2 linked regions of the Oreochromis niloticus genome follow. The protein of the gene in region 1 interacts with the protein of each later gene in a biochemical or structural test. Links are inferred from orthologs where the notes say so. Each region holds a gene or a part of one and is shown on either strand. Other genes may lie near its edges.

Region 1 (7,294 bases):
CGAGCGAGCGCAGCAACCTTTAAACATCTCCTGGACTAGACGACAACATGCTGAGTTAAACCCAGCAGAGAGGCTGTTACAGACAGGTTTGCATCTATAACATTTAGCAGATCTGAGCTGCAACTGATTCAGTCTTAGAGTCGCTGTGAGATCAGACATTAGGAGTCAAATTATCCGATCTTCACAAACGCGCATCAGATGGAAATAGGAAAAATTCTTAGAAATGAAAGCAGATCCAGCTGCTCGGTTCATGCGTGGTCTGCAGTTGTGTTCTGAAGCTTTAAGTCATGTGCCTTAGATTTGTTTCTTATACTGTAAAAGGAAAATAAATCACGTGCACAGTCTAAGACGTGACGCTGTTTGGAGATTGTTGCAGCAGATCGTCCTTCCAGGTGTAAACGTCACTTTGAAAGAGGAACAAAAAAAAAACATGACTTCATTCTCACCTGGATGAAAGCAGAGTGCTGATTTTATTCTGCCGACAGCTTCAAAATGTGTTTATCAGACGAGAAAAGGTGTCAGTGCAGCAGGATCCACAAAATCTGAAGCTTCTCCTTCACTGCCGGTGCTGATCCAGTAATCAATACATTTACTATGAGAGTGTGTGTGTGTGTGTGTGTGTGTGTGTGTGTGTGTGTGTCATTTTTCCATCAGCAGTTTTGTGCCTGTCAGGCTTCAGCGCAGCGTGGGAAACATGAGCTGTCAGGACATGACAGGGGTCAAAGGTCAGCACTCACAGCTCAGAGACATGGCTTCCTGACTGTCACTGAACACCCTGGCGACCAGCTGTCAGTCACTGTGTGTCAGAGGTCAAAGGTCACATTGGAGAGGGGCTGAGTGTGATGGCCACACAGAGAGGAAAGGTCCAGATTTACCTGCCCGGACCAGCTCACCTGTGTCTAAACTCATCTCTGGTGATATTCTGGGTTTCCCCTCTCTTTCTGTAGAAATCTTATGCCGCCGCGAGCCGTCATACTGTTGGCTTAAGAACAGTCCCAGAGCCTGACGGCCGAATTCTGGCGTGAAGTCTGTCCCCGCTCTGATCGTTTTCAGGACCCTCAAACACTCAGTAACCTGGTTAATCTCCTCCTTATGTGCATGATTAAAATACCCTCTGATCACAATCTGCTGCCCCCCTCCAGTTTGTCATTTCCTGAGCCAACAGGGCCGACTGGGACCCAGTTGGACGAGCGGCAAGCTTCCCTCCAATCCACAGTTTGGCAAACGGATTAAAAAAAAGGAATTTAAACTGTAGAAATATTTTATTATGATTTCACAGCAGTCTGTCCTTCGCTGTGTGCTGCCTTCAGCAGAATTTCTGAAGCTGAATCACATTTACTCAAATACTTGAGGGTTGTACTCGAGTGTGTAGCTGTTAAAAACCAAAAATAGCAACATCTGTAAAGCTGCTTTTAAAACTAGGCCAGATTCTTTTCATTATTGATAAATGTCGTGATGATTTCCCCCAATAAACATCAATATAGTTTGGTCTATATAAACACCTTTATGCTTTTATTTTTCTTGTACTGATTATTTTTCCCTATAGCTTCTATTGTATTATTTTTTTCTAGATCATTAGATATTTAGATTTACTTTTACTTAATTGTGTTATTTATTATTATTGTTTTTTACTTGTTAACAGCCAAACATAAACAAAAAGAACTAACAGTAACAGTAATAACTGTGCTCAGCGTGGATCTTTTCATACCTCCATCCTTGTAATCAGTTATCATGTCATGACCGTTGCTCAGAGTCTTATGCAAAAACAACAAAAGCTGTCATTCACATTCACGTCAACATATTCAAGAAAGAAACCACACATCTGGCTAAACGTTTGACCCGAGCAGATCATGAAGTCCACTGGGACATGTTCCAGCGTTATTGTGTGCCACCCGGAGGTTGTATGTTGTACATTATATTTTTTTATTTTTCCTGGCACGGAAAATCAGAACATTACAATTTTCTCAGATGTTTATTTTGGGGTTTAAGATTTTGGTAGACGATACGCCCGCTGAGATCAATCCCAGTTCACAAGATTTCCTGCAGTTTGGAGTAGGACCATAGGCGGTGTGTAAGACTGCCAGGATTTATTTAGCCTTATTTTTTTTAAAAATACTCCTCCTCTTTTTCCAGTTTTTTTTTTTCTATTTTAAAAACCTTTATTTAATTTTTACTTGGTATTATTACACTTATTTCTATTATTAATTTTGTTATTGTTTTCTGTTTTTATTTTTTTACTGTATTTTGTGTAACATAGCTTATTTATTAATATATTCATTAGTTCATTAGTTTTTTAACTAATGCCAAATATTGTTACCTATTTTTTTGCACACTTTATTCATCATTGCTGAAAGTATAATTTTTCAATAATTTATTATTTACTTTATAGGTTTCATTTTGTCAGTGTTTTCATATATCATTTTTGATCATGATCATGTTTTTATTTTATTTTTTGGATCTTCTCTGTGTTTGTCATTGTGATTTAAACATTTTTATTAATCAATAAATAAGGTGGAGTAAAATGACAGCGTATATCGTATGATGAATTCTAAACATCTGGCAGCAGCGTAGCAAAAGACAAAAACCGATTATTGCATGAATATAAAATAAATGGAAATGAGGGTAAAAGAAAAAGTTGGCTATTTTTTTATTCTTTAATAAAAAATCTCTCAGATGTTGTCAGCAGCTGGATATGATCCTGAAGGTTTTTTAGGATCTTTAGTCCCCGTGTTATTGTGAAGCCTTGTTTAAGATGAACTCAGGTACCAGAGGATGCTGCCATCATGCAGCAGGCTTACCTCAGCAGATGAGATCCACTGACTCAGAGTGGAGCCTGTTTTCAGCGTTGTTTAGTCCTTGCTTTAGCACAAGTGTCTCCATTTATTATCCTGACCAGACCTCTTGATGCAGGAAGCGTGAGGTCAGGACTTCAGGTCTCTGTGGAAGTTGTGTAGACTCTGGGTGGCTGACCAAGAACACCTGCAGGGATTATACACTGATCAGGTGTTCAAAACACTGAAGGTGAATAACACTGATTACCTCGTTACAGTCGGGCTTTTCACGGCGTAATGTATACGAGGCAGCAATGGAGTGATCAGTTCTTTGTGTGATGTAAGCAGGAAAAGTGTAAGGGCTTGAAACCAAAAGTTCCAAAAAATTATGATTATGTAACACAGTTATTCACTAACCTGACAAACATGTTGCAAGTTTACAGTATATATACAATATGATCTATTTACAAGTTCTTTCTTTGTGCTGTAAATGTAGTTTAAATGGGGAAAAAATACAGTCTTAGCTGTAATGCCTGAGATGTGACCCAAAAGTCACAAACTGATATTGAGGTGGGTTACAGCAGAGGTTGTCAGGGCCAGATGTTCCTCGAATACCACCGAATGTGTGTTTGAATGTGTGTACTGGCAGCTGTTTTTGAGTTGATACCGGATGAGGCCCAAAAGTCACGAGCTGAGCTTTACATGGGTTACAGCAAGGGCTGGATGAGCCAGATGTGATCCAGATGTCAATTATGTAAAAGGTTGGATGAGCCAGATGTTCCTCAAATGCCACTAAACCTATAAATTGTACTTGGAGCTGTCTATGAGTTGATGCCAGACGTGGCTCAAAAGTCACAAGCCAGTATGGTTGTGATGTACAGCAAGAGTTGTTCGGGCCAGATGTTGCCCAGATGTCACAAGCTAGGCTTTGGACTGCAACTGGAACGGTTGTCAATAACTAGATGAGGCAAAAAGTAAGGGGCTGGGATTCATCTCGGTTATGGCAAAGGTTGTCAGGGCCAGATGTGGCCTAAAAGGTCAGTAATCATGTAAGGTGGACGTGCGGCTGTCCCTGGGTTGATGTTGTCAGCCAGATGTGCTCCAAAGGTGACTGCAGATGTTGTTCACTTGTCTCTGAGGTAAATGGAACCTGAGAGCTCTTTGTTGATGTTCATCCGGGTTTCACGTCTTTTGTCTGTGGTTTGTGTCTTCATTTGTTTCCTGAATCGAGTGTAAAACTACACTAGTGCTCTCCCAAACCCCAAACAGGACCTGGATACTGATAGGATAATCCTGGTTTTCAGTTCCTGAAATCTGGTTTTATCCCAGTTTTCCACCAGCTACCTGCACATGTTTCCACCCCTCTCCTCTCTCCTCCTTTCTCCTCCTCTTGGTACAATTACAGAAGACTCTGAGGAATTCACTCACCGGCTCCCCTCCCCCCACACTGGAATGAAGTGTATGAATGAGGAGGAAGAGGAGGAGAGGAAGGGAAATGTGAAGACAGGAAGAGAAAGAAGAGGAAGGATTGAAAGAAATAGAGGCACAAGATAACGAAGGAAGGAAGGATCTAATGAAGGAAAGGAAGTGCAGGATGAAGGGCTGAGATGGAGGAGTGGTGTGTTAGAGGGCGAGAGCAGCAAGCGAGCAAAGTGTGTGTGTGTGTGTGTGTGTGTGTTTGTGAGCTGCGAGCTCTGTGATTGGCTGAACCCGGCTAGATGCACCAACAGCCGAAAGAAGACGGGAACAGAGGAGAGGGAGGCTGCAGATAGAGGAGAGAATACAAAGAACGAGCGAGTGAGGGAGTGTGTGAGGGAGTGTGTGTGTGTGTGTGTTACATGTGCGCTAATGCGTGTGTGTGTGTGATATCCAGAAGTGTGTGCGTGTGTGTGTGTGCGCAGCAGAAAGAGGAGGCGAGGAGGAGGAAACCTGATCTCACTCTCTCTATCTCTCTGTGTGGAATAAACGCTTAGCCCTCACCGTTATTGGCCTTGCTGTTAGCTTGCAGCTTAGCCCGGCCCAGTTTGGACCCGGTGTGATTGTGGTGGAGGTGGAGGTGGTGGGGATGGAGCGGTTCCTAGCCCTGCTACGTCTGCTGAGCAGGAGGAGGCGAGGGAGGAGGTACCGGGCGGATGATGATTACCAGGAAGGCTACGAAGACGTTTACTACTACACCAGCAAGTACAACACACACCTACTGAGTGAGTGAGTCCCATAAAGAAACAATGGAGAAAGAGAGAGAGGCTTTGTTTTATTGTCCTACTGTAGAGCAAGCGAGGTAGAGAGATGATGCAGAGAGAGAGAGAGAGAGAGGCTTATCAACAGATTATGGCACTTAAAGTGGCCCAGAGTGTGTTGGTGTGCGCCGTTTTAAATGTATTGTGGGGACTCGAGTGTATTTACTTTAGTGCTCTGTGGGGACCTCCTCAAGAGAACAAAATTGCCGTAATTTCAGGGACGAGGATGTTACAGGTAGCTTGACTCCTCAAAAGTGAAAGAAATCCAATGAGTTGTGTGATGTCTTTTAGTTTGTGTGTTTTTGGGGGGACGTATGCGCACTAATTTTTCTGTAATGTGGGGTCTCAACTTCCTTCAGGGGACAAACGTAAGTCCTCTGAAGCGATGGAAATACGACTCCATGGGTGTGTGCTATTTTAATTTGTTTCCTGGGACACTGGCTTGTACTTTCTTGCACTCCACCTCCCCCGTAAGGTGAGGGAGCAGATTTCAGGGTGAAGACTTTCAGGGTTGGCTCGAGACCTTTAAAGTGGTGGGAATATTTAGAGTGTTAGGTCTTGTATTTATGGGCTACGTGGACCACATGTGGACAAAAAGCGAGTCCTATATATAGTAATGATATAATGGGGGAAAAAAGGCTGTAGGCGTGTCTTATTGTAATTGGTTTGACGTATTTGTGTTTGCTTTCTTACACTGTAGGGACTTGACTTCCTTATGGGAACAAAAAATGAGTCTAAATAAAGATCGATCCCTATGAAGGGAAAACCACCGTAATCGAGAAAATTTGAGGTTGAAGACTTGGAACTTAGAGCTAGTCCAATTTGGGGGAACTAAAATGAGTTCCCAAGAGGAGATGAAGACTTTGAAGTTTGAATTAAATGTCCTGTGGGGACACGCATGTCTTTATATTCTCATACTGCGCTAACTCGACGTCCTCATGAAGACAAAGCTTGACCTGTAAGATGAAGGAACAAATTTCAGGGTTAGCAGGGTGTGTGTGAGTGTGTGTATTTTTGTGATAGTAGTTTTATCTGTGTGTATGTTTTTGCTTTTTTACTGTGAAGACTCACCTTGGTTCAGTGTAGAAGTTTGAGTCCTCTTAAAAGTGATGGAGTAAAGTTCAGGGTGAAGACTTTGAGGTTAGTCCTGTGAAGTGATGGAAATACTGCTCTTCTCACTGTGTGTGTGTGTGTGTGTGTGTGTGTGTGTGTGTTTAAGGTCTTGTATTATAGATGAAGGTCGTTAGTGAAGCTGCTCAGTTACAGTACACACACGCTCACTCAGGTATTCAGATGACATGAACCAGGTGGTTTGTGGGTAATAACAGGGCAGGATGTTTATTGCAGGAAGGAATGTGAACAATGTGGGAAAACACACACTAATTCCAGGTTTAACGTCTTGTGTTGTTCTAGTCTGCACGCTTCAGTCCTTCTTTGGGGTCCTGCGGTAGTTTCTACTCCTTTTTTGTTCCATGTTCTTGGCTGAACCTACGAAACTTTTGCTCCAAATATGACCAGTTGAGATTTCCTCCCCCGTCAGGAGCAGATCGTGATACACTAAGTCGTGAATAATGTGTTTAGCTCCAGGCGCTCACACTTCCACTTTAATTATCTGATCTTTAATTAAATTTAGATATAATTTGTCTTTTTGTGACCCATATCTGGGGGTTCCTTTTACACTTATTTTATGCTCGGCCACTTTTATAGAGCATCAGCAGCAACAACAAAGCTAATGTTGGTGGATCTACTGAGATCGACTAGTTAACCACACTCCAGACTCTTCCTCTATGTTTGTGGATAAATGGAGCCTGCTTCTGACGTTGCTGGTGTTCTTCTAGACGTCTTATTAGCAGCCATATAAGCTGCTTTGGCCTGTCTACAGCTGTTGTGCATCTGCAAGTTGCTTTGCAACCCATCCCCTCCATTTCATGCTGTTTATGACTGAATGAATACATATTGTGATAGACAGTTTGATTTTTGATTTGTTAAACTGTAAGTTTGGTGTGTTTACAGTCTGGTGGTGGAGATGCAGGTTTGTTTACAGCCTCACAGGTAGGGATGGGTACCGGTGTCATGGCACCGGTTCTGACATAAACGGTAGTAACCAGACCGAAAAGCAGCGCACATTTCGATGCTTTATTTCGATGCTTTATTTCGGTGCGTTATTTCGGTGCTTTTTTTTTCCTGAGCCAATTCTAGCCAATCATTTTACGTTTCCGAGGATAGTAGGCGGGGCCAGGTACGTACGTTCTTTTAGAGCAGAGCTACAGATTAAAAATGCCCAAG
Region 2 (7,270 bases), on another chromosome or scaffold:
GCGTGTGGAAAGCCATTCACAGTGTCATTTCTTGGTGTGCAGTGGAAATGGTAGCAAAACAGACTTTTCTGTAGGAGCAAGCACAGTGGCAGCTTTGTTAATTGTGGTGCTGCGTGACTGGTCTGATTGTTGGGTGGCTACTTATTTTAGAACAGAAGTCAGACCAGTTTCAAGTGTGTCTGTGTTTGGTGAATTAAAAAAAAATCACACAACAGTTTCATTCAGCTGACAAGTTCTTGTAATTTCTTACAGTCCGAAAACCAAAACACACACAGAAGAATTTAATTCCTGATGTTAGTTTTGTGAGTTTTGCCATATGTAACGTTTTCTTATGGTTTCTGTGTTAAACTGGGGTATTGGGGACCAAGCACGAGGCTGAGGGGCCCACAGGAAATCCACATGAAACAGGACCTCAGAAACAACTTGCGGATGATTTTCAAGCTCATGCAATGGAAACTGGCATCATTGTTTTTTTACTTTAAATATTTTGATAAGCAAAACAAATGTGGGGAAAATCACAAAGTGTAACATCCAAAGTGCATTACACATGCTTTTTGCAATCACATGGCACTTGAGGTGCCATGTGATTGGCTGATTAGATATTTGCATTAACAAGCAGTTGAACAGGTATGCTTAGTAAAGTGTGCAATACCTATTTATTGGAAAAGGAAATGACAATTCCATGTCTATTGACTTGTCAGCAATGTACAGTACTGTGCAGAAGCCCTTAGCCACTTCTCACTTATTTATATTTGGCTAGGACTTTACCTTTATATAATGCAAAATCAGAGTTTGTAAAATTCTGACAAGCTTCAAAATCAATATTTTATGTGATCACATTTATTCTTCAGCATAGTCTGTACTTTTTTTTTTATTAGTAATCTTCAGGAAAAGTTCTCCAAGATTTTCTAAAAACAGTTCTTCTTTGGATGTTTGCTGGTTTTTATTCCATTCTCTGTCAGGATGATCCCACATAGCTTCAGTGTGTGTGTTTTATTCAGCTATCCTTTTACTACGTTGACAGTGTGTTTGGGCTCATTGATCAGTCACTTTACAAATGGTACTACATAATAAATCAAAGTCTGATGTTACTTTTCTGTGTCCATAATTCTGTTAGTTTTGATACGACTCTCAACACAATTAGATGAAATCCAGCCCCAGACTATGACATGGCCTCCACTGTGTTTACTGTGTGATTTGGGACATGCCAACAAAACAAAACAACCAAAACTCCACATCGAATTATTGTAGGACTCTTCTTTTAGTTAGGGTAATTGTAACAATATTAGTTAACACTAACACTTGCTTTCAGGTTTCTCAGGCTGCTGCAGAACTGAAAAACTTCTGTTTGCAAAATGCCCACAAAGACCCTCTCCTCACCGGGGTGCCCTCCAGTGATAATCCTTTCAGGCCTCCCAAGTCATGTGTCCTCCTCTGAGGTATGAGCTTTTTATATATATATTTGTGCTCTTTTAATTTTGGAAACGCTAAACAAGCTTGTTATTTATTAGAGCACAAGATGTATCCCTCTAAGCTAAATCTACTTGTTCTCTTTGTAGAGCTGTAGAGTGCATGATATTCAGGCAGACTCCTCATTGTTCTAATGTGGATTTCTGTCATGTGCGGCACCACTGTTGAAGATAAGGAAGACCAGAGCCTAGTCAGTGAAGGAATTGATTAAATTATAATGATTTCAGGTGAAACATTTAGCCAATCTTATTTTAATTATATGTGTGTTTCTGCTTTCTGCATTTCTGTTTTGAAGACCTGTGGAATAACATTTTTAACAGTCATTATCAGTGGATGTGCCATTGTATTTGTCACTATATAAATAAAATACAACTGAATTGAAGCGGATGAAAACTCACACAGCTGAAAACAACATGACTAGAACAATTCCCATGAAAATTACATTGTAAAATACAAACCATAGGAGATTATTCCCATTTATAGATGTTTCCCAGAATCAAGCAGCAACCTCTACACTTTAAAAATTAAGAAACAGAAGTTCCTCTAATGGCCACTTGGCTCCAAATGTCATTTAGTTTGATTTAAAACAGAAATAAACAAATAAACGTTTACTCAGACTATTCAAACATTTTTTATGTTTCTTAACACTACGAGCAGCTAACTGCTAGTGTTAGTAGATAACTTGGCACACTCTCATCCAAATATAACTTCTGTTTCTCATAAACTAACAAACCCACTGAGCAACATCACAGTGACTACATTTATCTTTAGTCTGTGTCCAGAACAGGTGTAAAACAATCGTTTTAATCTTTATTTTTTTATTTATATATTAATTTTTGTCAACTCTTTTAAGCACTATATGAAAACATTCAATATAACTCCATTTCTAAACAACTGAGTGTGACGCATGTATTCCCATCATCAGTCAGAAGCTGACTGAAATGTCTGTAATCATCGATTTTTACCACTGAAAATGACCATGAGTTAATTCAGATATGAAGGAACTAACTGAGCATAAATGAAGCTCATTGGACACGGAGCGGACTACACAAATGACCAGCAATCAGTTTGTGTCAGGAAGCTTTCTCTAAAATGTATTTGAATTCATATCATAACATATAGAACAGCAAATGTTTTACATTGACTTTATTTACAGTGTAATGAAATGTGCCAGATATGGGCCCTTGTGTTTTTTACACCTACTGTTGCTTGCACTGTCATGTAATTGTTACTATGCATGTATCACATTAAATTATTACCCTAACAATCTGTATCTGCTTTGTTTTTTTCTGTTTGCTTTCTTCGTTTTTTAAAAATGTAATACAAAATGTACAAAAGATATCTTCAAAAAATGAAGATGTACTGTTTTTATACATTATTAATAATGTAGCGGTCAGTGTTTAGGATGTGAAAAGCGAACGGCTATCGTGGAAATGGGGAGGTGGACGCAAGCGTAATGAATCACTATCATAAATAGTACTCAATGCCTGTGATGTCTGTTTCACTCACTGTGCATCTGCAGTGCTTAGAAGGTTGGGGAAACCTGCAGTAAGCTGAAACTCGGATGAGTGATGACACGTTTCTCTCACTGAAAACATGCCCAGATGAGCTGAATCAACTCTCTGGGTTTTACTTACCTGGATTATTGAGCATGCATCAAGATAACACATGAGTACCTTCATGTTTGCAACATGTAAATATTCCCTTCTTTACATTCAAGTTGAGCAGATTGTAAGAGTTCCACTGTATGTTTAAGCTGCGCTTCTATCTTTTGAACTAAAGTCCAACTTTATTTTTCTTGATGCAGGCTCTTCTTGAGAATCTGCATATCAGATGTTCGAGCAATCAGTTTATGCTCCATTGATTAAAAATAAGTGCCTTTTCTGAGAAGTGTTAATGCTGCAGTGCTGATGCATGCTGGGAAATACGTATATTACTTGTAATTCCTGCCCCTGCTCTTGGTCATTTTTGGAAAATACCCATGAATTGGTTAAACTCAACAATGCAACAATTTGTTTTTCAGGGAGTTCATCATGTTTAGAAAGCCAAAGCAAAAAAGTGATGCTCAAATAAAGTACAAGGCCAGGACTTTGGTCTCGAGCAAAGCCAAAAAACAAACAAGCAAAAAATTTCTGATGGGTTATTTGATTATGAAACACTGTTACCACTTATATTTTGAAAATATGCACTCACATAAATATATCTAGAAGCTGGTCCACTAGAAGTGATTCTCTGAGTGGTTTTGTGGTGCGCTGACCCCATGCAGTCGGAGAGCACCTGCAGGTAATAAGCTTCTCCCTGTTGCCTGCTTACAGACATTACAGTTGTCTTTATGTTATTTTAGTAGGGCTGAATCTGTGTTGAGCTTGTGCTAGTCTAGTTGAAGAAGCTGGTAAGTTTATAACCTCAGCTAGAAAAATGAGTTACTGTCTGTGGTTAATCTCTGTGGTGCTGATCAAAGGCTTTTTTACTATTACGGCGTGTGTCTGTGTGTGAGTGAGAGGGGGGTGCAGGTGGTGACGATGCTTAGGGGAGGGGGTGAGATGCTGTGTTTGCTCTTGTGTAACATGGCGATAAAGAGACCCTAAAAACAAATAGCCACCTGTGGGTTTCGGGCAGAAGTACAGTTTTCGTTTGGATTTTAAGTGTTTAAAAAATTGTCAATGTTAGATATATTTTAATCTCCATGTTAAAATTTTATTTCACATGCCGTATTGCGCGATGGTGTTTACGCAATACCCATTTTTAGCCGCCAGGTGGCACTGTTGCAAAGGCTTATCACGTTGGTGCCCAGTGTGCCTCCAGCAGAGAGCAGTGCTTGGTTGGATGTGAGCGCCACAGATCTGTCTCTACTTCCAGAGCGAAGATGGCGGTCTCGGTATTCCGTGGCGTGCGGCTTCTCTCCATTGGAGACGCGAACGGAGATATACAGCGACACTCGGAGCAGCAGCCGCTGCGGTTAGAAGTCAAGACATCACAAGATGCTGCCCTCCTCAATCTCTCCAATGGTGAGTTGACCCTTTTCCGCAGTTGCCGCAGATGGTCGGCCTGACTCAACTGCCGCGCCGCTAATGCTATTGCAGCGTTAATGCTTACAGGCTAATCTGCCAGCGTTAGTAGCCGAGAAGCTAACGCATCTTGAGAGACCACGTCGCCACCTCCTGCTTGTCACGAGGAAGCTCTTAAAACTCAGTTTTATCACCGCCCCGTAGGTGTTTTAATGTTGCTAACTTTAAGCTCTCGCCATTCGCACGAGTTCAGTGCTTTGAAGACCACGCGAAACGTATAACGCAACACATACAACGTAGCTTAAGCGCATCAGTAAGCAGGGTAGCTAAGTAATGTGTACTTTAATGCTAGTTAAACAATGCCACTAGCCTGGCCTCAGCGGTGATGCGCCAACGTCCCGCACGTTTGCTTTTTGTGTTTTCTCCCTGTTTTTCTCCCTCATGTCTCATCAACGTGTATTTTGTCTCACAAATATGTTCAATATATTCCTATGTAAACGAATAGACTTTGTGTTGTCCAGAGACACCCGATGGACGGGTTCGAGTGTTTAGCTCGTGGACTAGCTTCCCCGATTGTTTTGGAGCCCAGAACAGAGGGCATCACTCCTGACCCGCTACGGTGTGCTGTAATCCTTGGGGCGACTCGCCGTCATCGCTGCTCTTTATTTTAGCCATCAGCACGTTCCCTTGTAAAACTTGCACTCTGTGTGCTGGTATAAGTTCGTAATATTTAAGGTGCCAAGACGAAACCGGGCCCTCATTACTTATGCGTTTATCTTTGTTCTCGCTGGAACAATAGCCGGGTCCCGCCGCCTCCTTCCCTCCCGTGTGGAGCCAGCAGCGGACCCGCTCCACTCCTCCGCGGCTTTTCTATTGAATGGGATGTCCCGCTGAAAAGAAACGGCTGCGCTGGACTCGCCTTCTGCTTCACATGCTCAAGTTCAAGAGAAACACAACTCTGCGTCCAGGTTTCAGTGTATAATATCAGACCGTAGAGCTTCTTTCTTCTAAAAATGCTTTTCAGAGAATCCCCCCACGCCTGCATGCGGACTCAAGTAATACTAACTAACGAGGTTTGCCGCAAGTAACTTATGTCATTGATTTTACACAGTCTGTTTCAAATTGTTGGGCAGTATTGCTGTGTGGGTAACGCAGACCTTTCCGGAGCTGTGTGTAGTCTAGTAAATTTCCACAAGTGATGTCACTTACATTACTAATGGGCCAGGTCTGAAGTCTACCAGCTTTGAAAGAACGACATCTGGGGGTTTGGTTGGAAAGAAGGGTGCTTTACCAATCCTCTCCAGCAGGCTCGTCTCTGCTGGAGACCCTGCATTCATGTGCTCCTCCGATACTTGGATTTCCTGTATGGTGAAGTCTTCTGCCCTCTTCGTTGGGTTCACATGATTTAAGATTAAGTGTAAAGCACTCGATGTAACAAAGATGTTGTCTTTGTTTGTCTTTGACTTGGAAAGCGTTACAAAAACAAACTCTTATAACTAATTCAGGTCACTACGTGGAAATAATAAATATTAGTAAATAATGGAAAAAGCCTAATGAGATATAACAACTTAATTGTTAGAAAAATGATATTTGATACACAAATTAGCACCATTAATAAAACATCTGTTGTCTCTTTGTGTGTAACAGCTCGGGAGCTCCTGTACCAAAACTCCCACAATCTTACTAAGATGGGGTTTTTTTTTTGGACTTAAGTAGGAATTTATGCCAGTTTTTGGAGATGTGAAGCAGATTTTTCCCTGTAATTTTAGCACCACATGAATGCACCATTACACAGGAACAACCAAAGACTTTTCAGAGGACTTGTTAGTGAAGTTTCTTGTGCTGTGGTAAGCCTTACAATCCCTGTAAGATGTTTTAAAGGGAGAGAAGGTCTGTGTCGAATGTTCATGCTTCACTGAAATACATAAGAATATTGTACTTTTTTAGACTACTGTCTCAAATGATATATTTAAAATGTCATAATTAGAAACCTTTAACTTTCATTCTAGTCTGAAAGTCCATATAGATGAGAAAAAAAAATATATAGCTAGATAGATAGATATTGATATAGACACTGGATGTGTAGTCTGACTGGCTCACCATGCAGTGATGTCATTTCCTGTCCAGTCAGGTTCATGTATCCATGACGTAAAGCCCCATAAACAATCATCACACTCATCACAGCTGAGCAGGTGCAGTCTCACTGTGGACAGTAAGAGGAGACCTAGAGAGGAAGCAGCTTAGTGAAAACTAAGCAATGTTAATTCTGCTCACAGGCGACAGCTGCACACAATCATTTTGTGCGAGTTCCAGATATTGTCAGAACAGAATGCTCATTTCTTTCACTGAATTGATGAAGGGAACAGTGGAGAAATGTTAGCAGGACAGTGTGAAAGTTATAGAACTTGAGCTCCTTCATATGTTTATTTAACAGAGGCCGCCTTATTGAAATTGCTGTCACTGTAAAACATGTAGCCTTTTTCCACTAGTACCTACATGGCTCGACTTTTACATTGGGTAGCAGTTACTTTTTTTGTCTTTCAACTACCTGCACGGCCGGGGTCAACCGATTGGCCAGTCAATGGCATCATGAGAGTAACTCCTTCACAAAAATCAAACCGCCATTTTTGAAACCTGGCAACGAGGGAAACGGCTGGACAACAACCAACACTGTGGTCTGACACAAAGCTATAGACTGAGCAGCAGGTGTACCATCGCCTCGGTGTGGTCCATTGTTGCTTTGTTTGTGTCACATACAAATGATTTCACGGGAATTTCAGTCACGTTGCTGT

Evidence for each region. The genes of interacting proteins can lie anywhere in the genome.
Region 2: the proteins of grip1 (region 1) and carm1 form a complex in vitro, tested with the Homo sapiens proteins (2 studies listed by BioGRID). The link is inferred for Oreochromis niloticus from reciprocal best matches to the Homo sapiens genes GRIP1 and CARM1.

What each region holds. Positions count from the first base shown.
Region 1 is NC_031981.2:19,985,772-19,993,065, forward strand, and holds the start of grip1 (glutamate receptor-interacting protein 1), read left to right. Parts: upstream 1-4,272; 5' UTR 4,273-4,836; coding exon 4,837-4,972; intron 4,973-7,294. UniProt on the Homo sapiens protein: May play a role as a localized scaffold for the assembly of a multiprotein signaling complex and as mediator of the trafficking of its binding partners at specific subcellular location in neurons.
Region 2 is NC_031969.2:3,522,253-3,529,522, forward strand, and holds the start of carm1 (histone-arginine methyltransferase CARM1), read left to right. Parts: upstream 1-4,256; 5' UTR 4,257-4,336; coding exon 4,337-4,478; intron 4,479-7,270. Other genes in the region: si:dkey-204f11.64 (guanine nucleotide-binding protein G(I)/G(S)/G(O) subunit gamma-5), read left to right, coding at 1,313-1,438. UniProt on the Homo sapiens protein: Methylates (mono- and asymmetric dimethylation) the guanidino nitrogens of arginyl residues in several proteins involved in DNA packaging, transcription regulation, pre-mRNA splicing, and mRNA stability.